Linked DNA regions of Oryzias latipes. The protein of the gene in region 4 interacts with the protein of the main gene of each other region in a pairwise test. Links are inferred from orthologs where the notes say so. Each region holds a gene or a part of one and is shown on either strand. Other genes may lie near its edges. The genes, in order: htt, peroxiredoxin-1, receptor tyrosine-protein kinase erbB-2 and gapdh.

Region 1 (3,563 bases), on a different chromosome or scaffold from region 4:
TGTTCATCCAGGACTGGTGGTGTCGGTGCAGGTACCAACCAGGGGCCCCGCCCCAGCATTATAGTCTGTACGCATGTTTGGATAAGCAGAGATCATTTTAGTTTTTGCCAATTTTTGGAACACCACAAGGTGGGAGGAGCAAACTCCAGCCCATCCCACCTCAGGCCTCCCTTTCTCTATTAGATGTTTTTGGTGATGTCAGAGATTTTCGGGTCAAATCCTTCGGAGGAAGCGGTGAATTTAGCCGCCGTACATCAGCGGGACCTCAGCTGTAAATGCATTCTGATACTGACCCTGTAGACCACGGTGGCCATGAATTGTGGGTAAGGCTGCTGGTTGGACAGGAACTCTCCGATGACCTTGTTCATGATGTCCTGTGGAGGGAAGAAATCGTCCAGAAACTGGGGCAGAATCCTGGACACCACCCGGGCCTCACTGGGAAAACCCTTCCTGATCCTGCAGCGACAGGAAAAGCCGTCTCGTGAGCAGAAGTGACGAGCGGACGGGCGTGAGGGCGATCTGCGGCCGTGCACGTCTGCTTGCGTACCTGTCGAAGAGCACGGAGACCCGCTCCATGGCCACGATGATGGACTCGCTGTCTGGGGCCTGCGGGTCGGGGTGGGCAGGCCTGCTGGCGGGGCTGGCTTTCTCCTTGCCTAAGGAGAAACCAACATGACCCTCCATGACGGCCGCCGCCTCCGCTACAGCAGAGTCAACCTGACCTCTAACCCCATCTGAGCCCGACGTAAGCACCGCTGAGAAGACCAGAGGGGTGGGTGGCACCGGCGGCACCGGTGGAGCGTGTACAGGTTAGAGTGGGGGTCAGGACACTCATCACAGCAGTCATATTAGAATTTTGTGGTTTTTTGGGACTGGTGCTGGAAATAAAAGGGCCTCCCAGCCTGCTCTGCAGCCTCAAACGCGCTTCTACGTGCACGTTGAGCGCCACAGAGCAGAAACTGCTGGCCAACTCTTGCTGGCAGAAAGACGGGCTGGGGGGCAGTTGGGGTTAGTAAAGGCCGTTGTTAGGGTTAGAGGTAGGGTGCACTGAAGGAAACAACAGCAGGCGACAAACATGAACGCACAAACACACGTGTTGAGCGATGACACGCCTTAGAGAGTTTCAGTGTTTACTCAAACGGCCAAATAAACGGAGAACATTTCAATCACCTGCACTTCCACTTGGAAGACAGGTAAACAGTTATTGAAGCAGCCGTTGGAGAAGAAACGCAGGATGTGCAGCGGCTGCACATCCTGCGAGTCCGTTCTTCTCAGCACCAAAGTTTGGGATTCGTTTTCCCGATGCTGAAATCGGAGCGATGCCCACAAATCTACCGGCCTTTTCAGCACCGGTGTTGGGAAGGACACAGTGTCAGTGTAACGGCGTTTATCCCGTTGGAACAATCAGTGTGTCTGCTGCACGACACTCGTCTTTTTTTCTAAGGCCTGATCTACCCCTCTGCCCTTCTCTTTGACCTTTGGGCAGTGAGGTTTGGAAAAAGGGGCTACCAGGTAAAGTGAGACGGCTTGCACCCTTCCACCAAGTTCTTCTTCTGAGGAGGTCATTTTAAAGCAAAGTGCTCCTCGTCTCGTTGGAGGTTTAAGCTGAGGACCATCAGCAGCCCCACCTGACCACCGGAGAGTGTGGGTGCAAGTTTACCTGCAGATCTACAGACAAACACGGTCACTCATTTTGAACATTTGCTGTCTACAAGCGTCCTCTGTAGCTGATCATAGCTGGGGTGAAGGATGGAGGACTTTACAAACACAGAGCGCGGTGCGCTGAGGGGTTAGCGGATGTTCATGCAGGTGAGCGTTAAGGTGAGTTGCAGCAGCACCAGTCACCAGCCGGCGTTTCCACCGGCGCGCAGCGTCAGGGCTGGCAGACGGCAGTTTACCGGTGTACATGCAGGTGAGCATGAGGCCCAGGGCGGCCATGGCTCTGTGCGGCGACGACGCGTTGACGCGGTCCACGCTGAGCTTCACCAGCGCCTCTCCGTCCATGCGGGACAACTGCTCCGACAGCAGGAGGCGCTCTAGCCCGCGCAGCACGCAGTGGTAGATGATGGAGGGCGTGCAGTCTTCGCTGGCCGACACCATGACCCCACACAACTGACAGGGACACAAGGACACGTGCATTTGTTTTAGCTAGGGCTGCACGATATGAGGAAAAATCGCGATATTTGAGATTAATATTGCGATAACGGTATAATTTGCGGTATATAAAGCAATAGCAAAACAACCAAAAACATCATTCCCATTTCATTGCAACAGTTTTGCTAGCTCGCCAGGCTAACGCCGTTGAAAATCGACAACTTTTAAAACCAACGTTCTTCCCAAAATGCTAGAGTGGTTAGAAGACGATAAATCCAAACCCCTAGCAGTGTAGACGTGTAGCTGGTACTAAGGATGTATCTTTTTTTGTGGGGGGGAAGGTTAAAGTCAAAGTCCCACCATCTGTCATGCACCTAGCTGTGCGAAATTTGCACTCCGCATTTGACCCCTCCCCTGAGGGAACGGTGAGCTGCAGACACAGCTCACCGTTTGGTGGTTTTGGTGGAAAATTCCACCAAATTGCGAGTTTAAAGGTCAACAAGACTTTGATTGAGGTCGTAAACTTAAGCCGGTTAAAACCAAAATTATTTTCCCATATCGTGGGAAAACGCCGAATTTCGCACTTTACCACAAAATGGCCGCCAAACCGTTGGTCCTATGGCCATCCCATAATAGTTTCAAAACTTCCTTTGGGTATCCCATCATGGGGATTTGGTTTCATTGGTGGATTTTGAAATATTTGTTTGATCCCCATAAAAGATTGTGGCCACATTTTTTTTTTTTTTTTTGGGACGGTTTGACTGCCATGAATTGGTGGATTTTGTGGAGTCAATTTCAGGACCTAAATTCTGCGTTAAATGAGGTTCCCCTGTGCTCAGCTGACTTGGTTTCATCAGTGAGTTCTTGCATCCACAGTGACCTCACGGTCTGAATGAGTGACACGTCAGACATGTGGTAGAAAACCGTCCCTCCCTTCACAGCAGCAACAACAGAAACATTCTGATCCACAGGGATGTGAACAGTTTCCAGTCACTCTGAGGCATCAACAGAACCCCAGCGGTTCCCCACAGAACCGCATTACCTGGATAACTGCAGCCACAAACTCTGGTCCGACGTCCAACGGGTAGTTCTCCATCATGTAGAAGGCCACTGCACACATCACCAACACATGCTGCTGGTTGTGCAAGTTCACACAACTGCAAAACAGAAACAGCAGGCGGAATCAGACACGACCCCCTCGTTTCCGTTTCCTCATGACTATCGGCTCCCAGAGGCTTTGACAGAATCTGTTCAAAAGGAGGAAGGCGCTCACTGAGCAATGGCCCTGAGGTTCGACAGAAGATACTCCGACACTGTAGGTATGAGCTGCTTGGCGGTGTCGTCCAGCAGGTCGCACTCCAGCACGTACAGCACGCCGTGCAGGGCCCCCATGCGGCTGGGCAGGTGGGTGCTGCGCAGGGTGGTCTCCAGCAGGCGGCAAACAGGCTCAGCGATCGCTTTGTCCTACA
Region 2 (4,002 bases), on a different chromosome or scaffold from region 4:
CTTCACGCATTCCGCCGAATTCGCGCCGCCCTGTTTGTGACGTAACGAAAGGAAGACAAGGCAGACAACATGGCTAGCACCGATAGCGAAGCACAGAGTGATGCTACCGTCTCTATTAGCGATTTATCATCAGATGAACAGAAAGATGAAGAGGAAAGTTGCGGAGATTATCATGATGATGAGTCACTTTTGCAACCGTATCGATTCGAACCCTTTTGCGAAAGTGAGGAGGATATAGCAGAAAGTAGTAGGTCTAGTGATCATGCCGATCATGACGATAGCCAGCATGAAGATTCGGCTAGACTCCAGCAAGTCTAAAAAATGTATAAAATTAAATTACTCCACTTACCCTAAAATATACTCAAAATGTCCCCTTTTGGCCTAATCTAAACAAAGGTAAACACTGGTTTTCAACCCAATTTACAAAATAAATGTCACAAAATAAAAGTTTCCCAGATATTACTACTCTTTAGTTAACAAAGTCACTGTATACCATTAACAACTGTGGAACATTAACAGTTTTACCCGTTTGAACCCGTTTGAAACCTTTTCTCGTGCGCGCGCGCGCGCTCACACACACACAGTTTAGTTTACTCATGGTACCGGCACCTCAAAAGCAAAAGAAAAAAAACGTTGCAGGCCTGTTGCTTCTCTTGCAAAACATTGAGTGCGTTGAAATACTCCAGTTGGATCCAAGGACAACAGAAAACACGACTACTTCGCCTCAATGTGATCCATCGTGATGCACACTAGCTTAGCAGCCTCCGCTCCCGACTCCAGCGCCGTCCTCTCCGACCCAGAAAACGGCTCGCTCGCTTCCAGCTCACCCGCCTTTCCTCGACTCAGAAGCCAAGATCCTCCTCCCAACTCTCCGTTCAAAATTCTTCGTTTGTGTCCCGGTTTTTGTCCCTTCGAAAACGCAGACTTCTCTCCTGCAGATCTGGAGGGAAAAATCCTTCGCCGTCCACCTTCTTGAACTTTCCCCTTTTCAGCAGCGTTTCTTGTTTGGGAATTTTATACACAGATACACTTTCAGTAGATGTATTGCTACATCCAGCTGCCACACAACGACTTGGCATGTTGATGATTAACAGATTTAAACACGAGAGAAACGAAGACTACCGGTTTTGTTTACATGCTGTCCGAAGCGGAACTGCGAAAATCAACGCCTTTCATGACGTCACAGGTCATATCGGGTTCACTTCCAGCCTGCGCTCTAGCGGCAGATCCAAATCTCTGATTCCTTCGAAAGATGTCTATTATTCATATGCTTCGGATTTTTTTCGACGCGAACTATTGGTATCAATAGAATCAGCGTTTAAAGGGCTTTTTTATTTGACAAAGTTGTTCAAAGCATGGCATCCACACTTTAAGGTCTAATTTAGGGATGTGCAAATAGAAAAAAATAAAAAAAACTCTGTTGTGTCACCTGTAAGCAATGCCTTCATCTTCTTTCAGGACCCCATAATCTGTGGAAATGGTGCGGCGCGTGTCAGACACCAGGGGGATCTTCATTGAACCCAGACCGCCTTGTTTCCGTGGTGTGTTTGTCCTTTCAAACCAAAACAAAAAGAAAAATTGATTTCAACTATTTGCAAAAGTTGAAGCACAAGGTATTATGTTAAAAATCTGAAAGTACCATGCAAAATGAGAAAAGTGAGAGTCCACAGAGGCAGCGATGACTTCACAGCCAATCTTCCTGAAGTCGTCAGCAGCGTCGCTGAAGGCGATGATCTCAGTGGGACACACAAAGGTGAAGTCCAGAGGATAGAAGAAAAAAACGACATACTTTCCTGTAGGAAGAGTGAAACAGGAAAAATAAAATATAAGGTATTAGTGCTCTTGCGCTGCCTTAATTATTGTTTACAAGATAGACTGAGGCTTTTACCTCTATAATCTGACAGCTTCAGGTCTTTGAACTGGCCGTCAGGCATCACAGCCTTAGCTGTAAAGTCTGGGGCCAGGCTTCCAATCTTTGCCTTTCCTGCTGCCATGTTTGTCCTTACTGAAATACAGAAGGAGGAAGTGGGATTAAATAAAAAAAAAAAAAAAAGCCTTCCTCGTTTGCCAGACAAAAAGCACGAATCTATGCATCCATGAAAGAGGAAGTAGTAAGAGTAGTAGTTTTAAGAGTTTTAACGTAATGCATAATCAACTGGATACGTGAAATATAACAACATTTAGAAAGAACATGATACAAAAGTCAAAATAATGAACTGGATCAATGAAGTGGGTTTTTCAAAATAAAAGCGTCAAATGAGAGAATGGTTTGAAAAAGAGTTGGAATGTTATTTAGACAGTGTCCACTTAAACTAGTATTTATTACAGCTTACGAGCGCCTCTTTTAGTTTACATTTCCGCATGTGGGAGACAAAGTTAAATGTTTTACTTTTGGTGGGAAAGAAGATCGCCCCGTTTTGGGGAACAGAGAGGTTTTCACGCCCCACAACGCTTAAAAAAAAGAAAGAAAGAAAACGTTTAGAGGCCCAAAAGTGTTAGTCTTAAGACCCAATTCATTTAATATAATATGGGGAAATAAAAGTTATAAAAAATCTGGTTATTTGATTTTCCACACGAAATCAAATCCCGAACGGAAATAAACAGACACTTGTTGAACTGAAAACTTCCGGGTTTAACTGTATGAAAAAAAAAAAAACCTTTAAAAACACAAGTAAACGAGAGGGGGGGGGGGGGGTGGTAAGATGAAGGCATTATGGTACTCACCTCTTAGCGATCACGCCACACCAACTGTCAGAAGCGAACGTGCGGGCTCGAGTGCGCTATCAGGAGGTTTTATAAAGCCCAGAAATCTCGCGATAACATCGACCGAACAAGAACAGAACCTTTCCTTGATCCCTATTTCCAGAAATGAAGCATTCAGCATGACTCTGCACTTTTTAACTGCTATTTCATGAAAAGGAAGCTAGAGAGATGCCTCTTTTTTTCTAACATCTCTAGTTTATGAAGCCATTAATTTGTTTTAAAAACACAGACGAGGGGAAAAACAGCGTTTGGTAGCTTTCTCAATTTTTCTCATAACTTTTGTCAAGTATACATTTCGTTTATCCATATTTCTTAAACTCTTCCTCTCCTTTTTTTCTACTTTGGCCATGCCCTTACAAAAAAACTCCCGGTATGGAAAAGTCTTGTAGACGTTATATTTCAACCAGGGTATTTTAAGCTGCATTTCTCTTGCCAACGATATTATATTTTCTTAAGCAGTTTCTGGAAAATCTCACTCCCTTCCTTCAAACACTTTATTGCAACACTGTGTGCTTATCCAGATTGCTGCCAAAGTCATTTATCTTTTTCATTTCCTGCTTTCCTCTCCTCTGTAATATTTACTGGAAGGAACAGAACACATAATGTACACACTGTCTCGCACAGAAAGAGGTTTCTTGTTGTTTAATTACAAGCCCTAAACGCTTAAATAAAAGCAAAAAAGGTAAAGAAAAACAACAAAATGTCTTCTGTTTAACAAAAATAGATCTGCATAATCCTTAAGTGGTTGCTCTTCATGTGAATCATTCAGTCTTGTCAAATGATTAACCTATGTCTAGTTCTTTATTTAGATACCTCACTTTTAGTGATTTTCTCACACCTAGAGCGATGATGCGTATGAATTGTGAAATGCTAACGTTCAGATTTCTCTGTTTTGCCCAGAAGCTGATCTCATTTACTCTAACTTAATGTTCATATGACCACAGATCTCATGATTGATATTATCTCAAAAGGGGGAAACAACTCAATGGAGGTCAAACAATAATAATAATAAGACTACACACAGTAGAGTAAACAATAGTGTATATAAAGTTGGAAAGAGTTCTTCTGTGTATTTTCTCTGTCATGGCAGAAGCATCCCTCCGTCTTCAGCTATAATCAAGCTGCATCTTTGCAGGCTGTTGCCATAGCGCTACTTCAAGGACCAGACTGGAGGGAGAAACACAATAACCCCCTTTAGAAGCAGCACTCTGAGCCAGTGATCAAACGCTGGCCTGCATT
Region 3 (4,158 bases), on a different chromosome or scaffold from region 4:
TCGTCATCACAATATTGAATACTAATATTGCAAGTTTTCCTCATATCATGCAGACCTACAGTCAATGTAGTTTACCAACATTGAGCTAAAACAATTTGACAGATTTCTGAGTACTGTGTATCATAGAAATTCAGTTCCAGGTCAAAAGAACAAATAAATTCCTACAGACCGACAATATTTTGGGAAACTGAAGGCATAAAAATGTGCATCAAAGTCATATAAATATGATATTTTTTAACCTTTGGATCTATATGAAGACAACAAGGAGAGACCCAAGAGCTTCAAGCCTTCAAGATATTTATGAAGCATCCACACCACTGACTATTATTAGTGAACGCATCACAGTCCTCTTTTTAAATTTAGCTGCTCCAATGCCGGGTCTGAACATGAGAGTTGAGCTTATGGGAAACCATTCATGCACAAAATCTTTAAAAAAAAAACACACACACGCACATTTTGCATACATGCAATAAAATAACACTGACATGCAAACATTTTATGTAGGGTAAGGGCAATTTGAGCATTTTATACAAATAATGACAACATATAATATAGACAAATCTCCCTCCAAGTAAAAAAGCATTTTAGATATAACCTGAGCTGAAGTGAGAACTTTAGTGTGATTATTGGTAAAGTCTTTGATAAGAAATTCTAAATTTTGATAGGATTCATTACAATTGATTAAATGTCATTTTACTGGTCAAATTTTTGTTTTAAAATAAGTTGTTTAGTGATGAAGTGACCAAAAGTAAAACCTTTGATCATAATATTGTGAAATCTCACAATAGAAACGAATAAATTTGATACATTTTTCCAGATAATTTGTGATACATTCTTATAAAAAGAATTAAATCGAGGAATTTCATATTTTTGAATTGTCTTTTTAATTGAAACAAATTGATCTTCAAACACAGCCTTTAAAAGGTTTACATGAAAAAAATGATAGTGTCTTAGTGTTAAATGCCCAGGTTAAGATGCAAAATAATATTAAAACAATAAGATGCTTGATTGGTTGAATTAAAAGTTTTTTATTGCCAAAAAACGGACGTTCCTCTGAAAAACATGAGGGTGAGCGGAGCCTTTTTAGAGAACGACCATCCTGATCTCAGTCAGAGTGGGTCAGGTCACTAACAGTCTAGACGGGCAGAGTTAACCTGCAACTAGCGTCAATTCAAATAGACTTTGCCTTGAGGTGCGCTAAAATATGACAAGGGCGTGAACTGTGCGTCCACTGAGGCAATCGCCTCACACCAAGGATCCTGCATAGAGGGGCTGTGCACACGTGTGAGTGACATAACAAATGAAAGTAAGAAGGCTGGAAGTCAACACTTGGGCATAACATGTTGCTTAACTCTGGGAACCAGTCAGAGCACTCCGGCACAGGTCCGATGCTTCAGAGATCAACACTGCAGACTAAAGTGCACCAACCTGTTCCCCCCAACAATGCTGTCGCGTTCAGAAATGACTTCACCTGTGACTACTGGCTTTGTTCCTGCGTGTGTCCGATTAGTGGTAGTGCTTCGGGGGCAGCTAATAAAACAGGAGTATTGTTTGTGCTCTAAGGATTTCGTCTTTCAACTTAATTGAGCTGGAAATTGGTAATCAAAGTCCAAAAAAAAAAATTCATGGCTCTTTTTGTTGTTTTTAACCCCAAAAACTGGCAATTTAATAAAGTCTGCACATAGTCTCAGTCTGTGCAAAGGTTTTACATGTTTATTGATATTGCTAAATCCTCCTAGAACAGATATTAAACTAGTTCATAATAATAATCATGAAAACTGTGGTTTTCTTGCAGAAATAAAAAATGATATTGGAGTTTTTCAAATCTGACTCCTTTTCTTCGACTTTATATAATTGGTATATGAAATGTGAAAAACAATGAAACAAATAGTTTAGAGCGGTGCTACTTTCTGCAACATGAAGAAATCCAAAAACTCCTCAGGTTTGGCTTTAAACAAAAGAAATCTTGATTTGCATTTTGCAAATTTGCTCTTATTTGCACTTTCAGTTAGTTAGCTCTTACTTTACTGGCATGCACTCCAAGCTCCAAGTGTGATAAGTGGCCCTCTATCAGACAATGTCCCCTTAGGAGCCAGAAGTGAATAATTGACATAGTCATGATGATCTTCTGCACACAGAGCTTTTGTTTGTTTGTTTGTTTGTTGTTTACCAACACTGCTCTGCTGCATCTCAACACCAGTTCTCGAGTTTATTGCCCAACTATGTGGCTTTAACTCTCTTTATTCAATTTAGTGTAAGTTTGTAATTGAAATTCAAACTGAAAGCTTTTAGCGAAGCTACTTTTTGACAGGTGGGAATTTTGTCCTTATCTGCGCTCCATAACTCCCATGAATCTCCGCAGGGAGGACGAAATCACGTACGAGGAATGCAGGAACCCGCGTCGACTTCACACTTCACGTCCACACGAACACAACTCGAACGGGGTCTAGTATGTCCGCGTTCCCAAACCGTGAGAGCGCAAAAGACGACAAAAGTCACCCACCTTCTCCGCCCAAAACGCCCGGCACTCCGAGCAGAACGGCTCCGATAAACACCAAACTTCTCGCGGCTTCCATCTGCTCGCACCCGGCGCGTTTAGTCCATATTCCAGAGTTAGGTCTGTCTAATATTCGTTGTAGCCGACAAAAAAAACACAATAGGTCTTTTCCTTCTTAAAATATTAGACCTTAAAATAATAGCAGCTTTAATCTCGACTCCCTTAGTGAAATTGCTGCCCTTCTTCCTATCCACGGAGACTTCCGAACTCGGACTGTTGGTAGTAACAGTGTGACAAGCGCGCTCCCGTGAAGGCCTGCGCGAGGAGTGGCACTCTGACTCCGCCCACAATCACAGATTTCTGTCTGCAGACCTCAAACTCACTACACGCTTATCAATGTGACATTAAAGACTGTAATGCATGGATTCCTTCTGTCATACAAATATATATATGTTTATTTATTTATTGGTCAAATTTATGTATCCTACTCAAACATGTTTTTTTTCCAACTGAAATGTATCTGAAAAGTGTTCTAAACGCTCATCTTTATGAGGCTGTAGCTTTGAGCATCATGTTAGAACACTGCCAAAAGAACTTAAAGTTCTCTAAAATAAAAATGTGCTGAAGTGTTTAAAAATCATTTTTGTTGGAACAACAAAATAAAATAAAAACTTCCACACCATAATACTACTACCTTCACCAACTTGGCACCTTGCATTTTCAATGGTAGATCTTCCTGGCACCCCAGAATCCCAGAAGGTATCAAATGCAGATTTTTAAATTTATTTGAATTTAAATCATAACATATGGGAAATAGTCAATATTTCAGGACTTTTTTTTCTCCAAATTTTCCATGATACAAGAAATACCAAAAAATTAGATCAGACTGTCTTTGTCAACAAACTTCAAGATGTTGGATTATGTTGTAATTATTGTTGTTTATGGAGGATTTAGCAGTAGCATCTCAAGGAGATGCTTGATCCTGTGAGATGTTCTCAGGCTTGTTATCCTTTTTGTTTTCAGTCTATTGGGGGCTAACATTTCTTGTGCTTTGTCCAAAAAACCCCCCCACATATATGTATTTACACACAGACACGCACACAATACAATTTTCCTGCTCTATTTCCAAACTTTCCCCAAGTGCATAGACTCATACATCTCTGTATCTCACCATTTACTGATTCACTAGAGTGGCTAAACTTTCATAATGACTTCTGGAACAAATTTAAAGAAATCTTCAGTGGGCAAGCAATGGAAGAAAAAAATGTATCTCTAAACAAGTTGAAAATACAGAAAAGTAGAAGTTCTTTTCTTGTTATAAGGGAAAACAAATTTGACATTGGAACTAGAAGAACTTGTTTTGGTAAAATTTCTTAAAATAAATTGTGATGTAATAACCTTTTAAGACAAATTGTTTATGTATATTTCACTGGTAATAGGAAATATTGCATTTAAATGACAAGGTATTGCCAAAATAAGGGTTTTAAATCTTTAAAGTGGGTATGTTTGCACACCTTTCCCCCAAATATATCACATTTTAACAGCTATAACAGTCCAACTACCCCTCTATAGAATCATCCTAAAGACCAGAATCATAAAATATTAAAAACTAAAGACTAAACTTAAATTATAGGGGATATTTTTGCAGTGCATCTGTTTAA
Region 4 (4,055 bases):
TGAGAAACTGTACAGTTTTGCAGATTAATTTTATTAAGAGATTCCATCTTAATCCCTGGTGATAATAATATGGATAATAATAATAAATCCATATGAAGGAAAAATAAAAGGATTTGTGGTCACTCACTGGTTTTTCCAGGCGGACTGTGAGATCAACCACCGACACATTGGGAGTGGGCACACGGAAGGCCATGCCGGTCAGTTTGCTGTAGAAATTTTAAGTGTTTAATTAAGACCCTGACAGCATGTATGCTGTAATATTAAAAAACCCACTGAGGACTCACCCGTTCAGCTCGGGGATGACTTTTCCCACAGCCTTGGCAGCTCCGGTAGAGGCGGGGATGATGTTCTGGCTGGCACCACGGCCGTCCCTCCACAGCTTACCAGAGGGTCCGTCCACAGTCTTCTGGGTGGCAGTGATGGCATGAACTGTGCTCTGAAGAGAGACCAAGACAAAAAGGGAGGTGGGTTCAATGAGTCTGAACATTCAGCAGCAAAAATCGTTTAATGGAGCGTCTGCTCTCACCATCAGGCCCTCAACAATGCCGAAGTTGTCGTGGACGACTTTGGCCAAGGGGGCCAGACAGTTTGTTGTGCAGGACGCATTGCTTTGAAAAGCAGAAACATTGGCGTCAGAGCTGTAAGATCCAAAAATGGACGGTCCTTTTGTAGATTAAAAGTCATCTTACCTGACAACCGTGAGAGAGTTGTCGTACTTCTCGTGGTTGACTCCCATGACGAACATGGGGGCATCTGCGCTGGGTGCAGAGATGATAACTCTCTTGGCACCGCCCTTCAAGTGAGCCTGCATTTTGGGATTTAAAGAGGATTATTCCGCATTTGCTTGATCCAAAAATAAATAAATAAATAAAAATCATGATATCCAGAGGGGAGCATACATACAGAGGCCTTCTCAATGGTAGTAAACACACCGGTGGACTCCACAACATACTGGGCACCGGCCTCACCCCATTTAATGTTAGTAGGGTCCCTCCTGCAAAGAAAAATCCAATCACTTTCTTTTAGTCGTCCTAAAAAGTAATCACTGATTATTAAATACTGGCACATTAACTCACTCATGGAAGACGGTGATCTGGTGTCCATCAATGACTAGTTTGCCTCCCTCAGCCTTGACCTCACCCTTGAAGCGGTTGTGGGTGGAGTCATACTTGAACATGTAGACCTTAAAACAAAAATAACTTGAATACAAGATCTCCCCCCCCCCCCCCCCCCATTTAATTTAAGACTTAATGTCTTTCACTCACCATGTAGTCCAGGTCAATGAACGGGTCATTGATGGCCACAATCTCCACCTTTTTAGAGGTGAAAGCAGCTCGGGTCACCAGACGGCCGATACGGCCAAAACTGAAATGTGGAAGGACAAGTATCAGTCTGGCCTCTAGATGGCGTCCTGAGGCCATCTAATCTGTGCAGTTATGTCTGAGTGGCAGTGACATAAAGGGGCCAATGCCTAATAACCTGAAATCATTCAGTAAGGGACGCTAGTGCTGACTTTCAGGTGAACCCGAGCAAACGCGGTTCACTGAAAGAACCCCATTTTGTTTCCTTCCTTCACGTTGGCTTATGCATAACATCCCAGGAGACATGAATCTGCAGTCAGATAAAGGGCAGAGCTCATGAGGAGGGGCTGCATGCCGCTCAAATGCTCACACGCCCCTTTCTGGGGGCAAAAGTCAGAAGAACCGCCAGTGTGTTAATCCTGATGACGCCACAGCTGCGGTTTGATCAATGGTCGGGTTACTTTTTAACCACAGTCCTGAAAACCTGGTCTAAAACAGAGGCCAGCAGGACTGGCAGATAACACTAAAGATTCAGGATTGTGATAGTTCAATATCCAATGAGATATTCAGCTTCATTTCTACTCAATTCCAAGAGTAGAAGAAAACGTCTGTCCAGTTGAAGGGGTGAAACAAACTCAAAGTTTTCTACCAAAAGGCCAAAGTTCAGAGATTGAGAGAAAACAAAAAACATCCAGATGGCGCAAAGGTTTGTTCAAATGCATCAGGGGACACTTGTTGCTTCAGATGTTGCACACCACCTTCAAATTGGATGCCAATTGCTTCAGCTCCATGTACGTCTTGATCGCCAGGGAAAATTAAAAACTCTTTAGTAAACCAGAGCTTGTTCTTTAAATCAAGTGTCCTCAAGGTTTCTTGGAACTCTGCTAAAGTTAGTCTGAACATTCAGAGTTTCATTAAGAGATCCTTATTTTAAGAAATCAAACAATTCAGGGAACGTTTTGCAAAACCACTCCAGGAATGTATTAAAAAAATAAAATGATTAAAAAGGAAATATTTGAAGTGCATCAAGAACAATGTGGCATTGTGAGCTTGAAGTGTTGAGAAAAAGCTCTTACCCATTGATACCAACTTTCACCATTTTAGCCTGGGTTGATCTTTAGTCCTCTGTGAGATTAAAGAATAACAATTTAAAAAAAACATCCTTTAGAAATCTATGCAACAAATATTTTTTTTAAAATCACACATCATTTGGGCAGAAAGATGAGCAGAAGGCCTCAAACATTCATGCAAGTCCTTTTTTTTTGGATCACTTTGATTGCTGCAACTTCTCCATGACACTTTACAACTTTCTAAACAGCTTCAATCAAGCAGAAACAAAGCAAAGTGACTGTTTTGCATCAATTGTCTCCAGGTGATTTCAATGAAAGAGTCATGCTGCCAGAAACAGCTGAAGCCTTTACCGTTTGTGAGACGCTTCTGTCTGTCTTGCGACTCCGGGTGTGAGTGGGGAAGAGCAAAGTTTGGTTGGGAGTATTTATGATGGCCCCCTCAGGACAAAGCCACACCCCTTAATGGTCACCGATCCTCACCCCGCCCCCTGTGAATGTCAAGGTCGTTAGCTGCTCAGACACAGGCTCTGAAATCCCATTTTTGTCAAGCTCCTTTCAATTCTTCTTCATATTTAACTTTTAATTACAGTCCTAACTCTTTAGAGCATTTATTCTAATTCAAAATATGTGCTGTCAGTTTAGTCTGAAGCATTTGGAGGTCCTGATTTAGATCCTCCAGCTGAAAAAAGAGAGGGGTCCCTGCTGACCTTCTCACTGAATGCAGACACATGGAGAGAGCAAATGGGGGATCAAATCTCTGGCTTAGTGACGCTGACATTTAATGTTCAAAGACCATGACCCTTCACTTGAATGGTTCTGTTGCCGTGCCTCTTTTTCTGCCGTTTTATCCCCTCAGCTCAAGTCAAAAGTTGAAACTCAGTTGCTCAACTTGAGTCGTGCAGAGGAACTTGTCGGAGTCAGTTTGCTCACCTGAACTGTGACTTTTGTGTGGACATTTGGAAACGGCTCTATAGTAAAACTTTATCTTGAAAGTGCTGCAGCTAAGGAATCTGCAAGAGCACATTTTATCTTTTAGAGATTAATAATCTTTGCTTTCTTCACCAGTCTCAAAACACAACAAGGCTCAGGCATGCCAGCTGCCTTCCGAAGTCTATTTTTGACTCCCTGTTCTGTCAACAATGTTGACATCAGAAAGAAAAGATCTCCCAAGATTACGGTGTTAGATTTTCCCCACGTGTTGCACAAGCAGACCAGACCCGACAAACGCTCGCTTAGATTTCCTCTGCATGTTTCAGCAGGCTGCAGAGACGGTTCTCTGCTCTGAAGCTGAGCAGCAACGGCGGGTTTGGTGGCAGACGTCCAGTGGTCCTGGCATAGCTGAACTATCACAACCCCTCCGAGTGCAAGCATGCCAGTCCCAGCCGCCGCTTTACAGCTTAAGGTCAAAGAAGGGACGCAAAGGTCAAGCTAAGATTAGATTGCAGCGAGTCAAACTCATGATCCATGATATACTCAGTGCTGCAAGTGCTGCCTCGTGGTGATCTTCTTTTGTCTGTTTCACAACAGTTCAAGCACCTCGACGTTTGAGTCGGAACGAAACTGATGCATTGATTTTAGAGAAAAACATGGAAACATTTCATGACATAAATTGGACTCGTTAGTCCTCTGTGTTCATACTGACTCGCTACAAACATCTGCAGAAACATCAGTGGTAAACTTCTAA

What was found.
Region 1: the proteins of gapdh (region 4) and htt interact in binary tests that used the Homo sapiens proteins (3 or more experiments, as listed by UniProt). The link is inferred for Oryzias latipes from reciprocal best matches to the Homo sapiens genes GAPDH and HTT.
Region 2: the proteins of gapdh (region 4) and peroxiredoxin-1 interact in a two-hybrid assay, tested with the Homo sapiens proteins (2 studies listed by BioGRID and IntAct, with this or other methods). The link is inferred for Oryzias latipes from reciprocal best matches to the Homo sapiens genes GAPDH and PRDX1.
Region 3: the proteins of gapdh (region 4) and receptor tyrosine-protein kinase erbB-2 interact in a protein complementation assay, tested with the Homo sapiens proteins (2 studies listed by BioGRID and IntAct, with this or other methods). The link is inferred for Oryzias latipes from reciprocal best matches to the Homo sapiens genes GAPDH and ERBB2.

What each region holds. Positions count from the first base shown.
Region 1 is NC_019859.2:35,162,498-35,166,060, forward strand, and holds part of htt (huntingtin), read right to left. Parts: intron 3,559-3,563; coding exon 3,368-3,558; intron 3,252-3,367; coding exon 3,137-3,251; intron 2,113-3,136; coding exon 1,899-2,112; intron 756-1,898; coding exon 548-755; intron 457-547; coding exon 294-456; intron 1-293.
Region 2 is NC_019875.2:16,491,909-16,495,910, forward strand, and holds the start of peroxiredoxin-1, read right to left. Parts: upstream 2,850-4,002; 5' UTR 2,725-2,849; intron 2,452-2,724; exon of another isoform or gene 2,390-2,451; intron 2,006-2,389; 5' UTR 1,995-2,005; coding exon 1,889-1,994; intron 1,794-1,888; coding exon 1,640-1,793; intron 1,553-1,639; coding exon 1,430-1,552; intron 1-1,429. UniProt on the Homo sapiens protein: Thiol-specific peroxidase that catalyzes the reduction of hydrogen peroxide and organic hydroperoxides to water and alcohols, respectively.
Region 3 is NC_019877.2:7,422,756-7,426,913, forward strand, and holds the start of receptor tyrosine-protein kinase erbB-2, read right to left. Parts: upstream 2,807-4,158; 5' UTR 2,577-2,806; coding exon 2,504-2,576; intron 1-2,503. UniProt on the Homo sapiens protein: Protein tyrosine kinase that is part of several cell surface receptor complexes, but that apparently needs a coreceptor for ligand binding. Essential component of a neuregulin-receptor complex, although neuregulins do not interact with it alone.
Region 4 is NC_019874.2:20,246,368-20,250,422, reverse strand, and holds the start of gapdh (glyceraldehyde-3-phosphate dehydrogenase), read right to left. Parts: upstream 2,806-4,055; 5' UTR 2,723-2,805; intron 2,427-2,722; 5' UTR 2,401-2,426; coding exon 2,378-2,400; intron 1,366-2,377; coding exon 1,266-1,365; intron 1,184-1,265; coding exon 1,077-1,183; intron 995-1,076; coding exon 904-994; intron 806-903; coding exon 690-805; intron 609-689; coding exon 527-608; intron 437-526; coding exon 285-436; intron 207-284; coding exon 128-206; intron 1-127. UniProt on the Homo sapiens protein: Has both glyceraldehyde-3-phosphate dehydrogenase and nitrosylase activities, thereby playing a role in glycolysis and nuclear functions, respectively.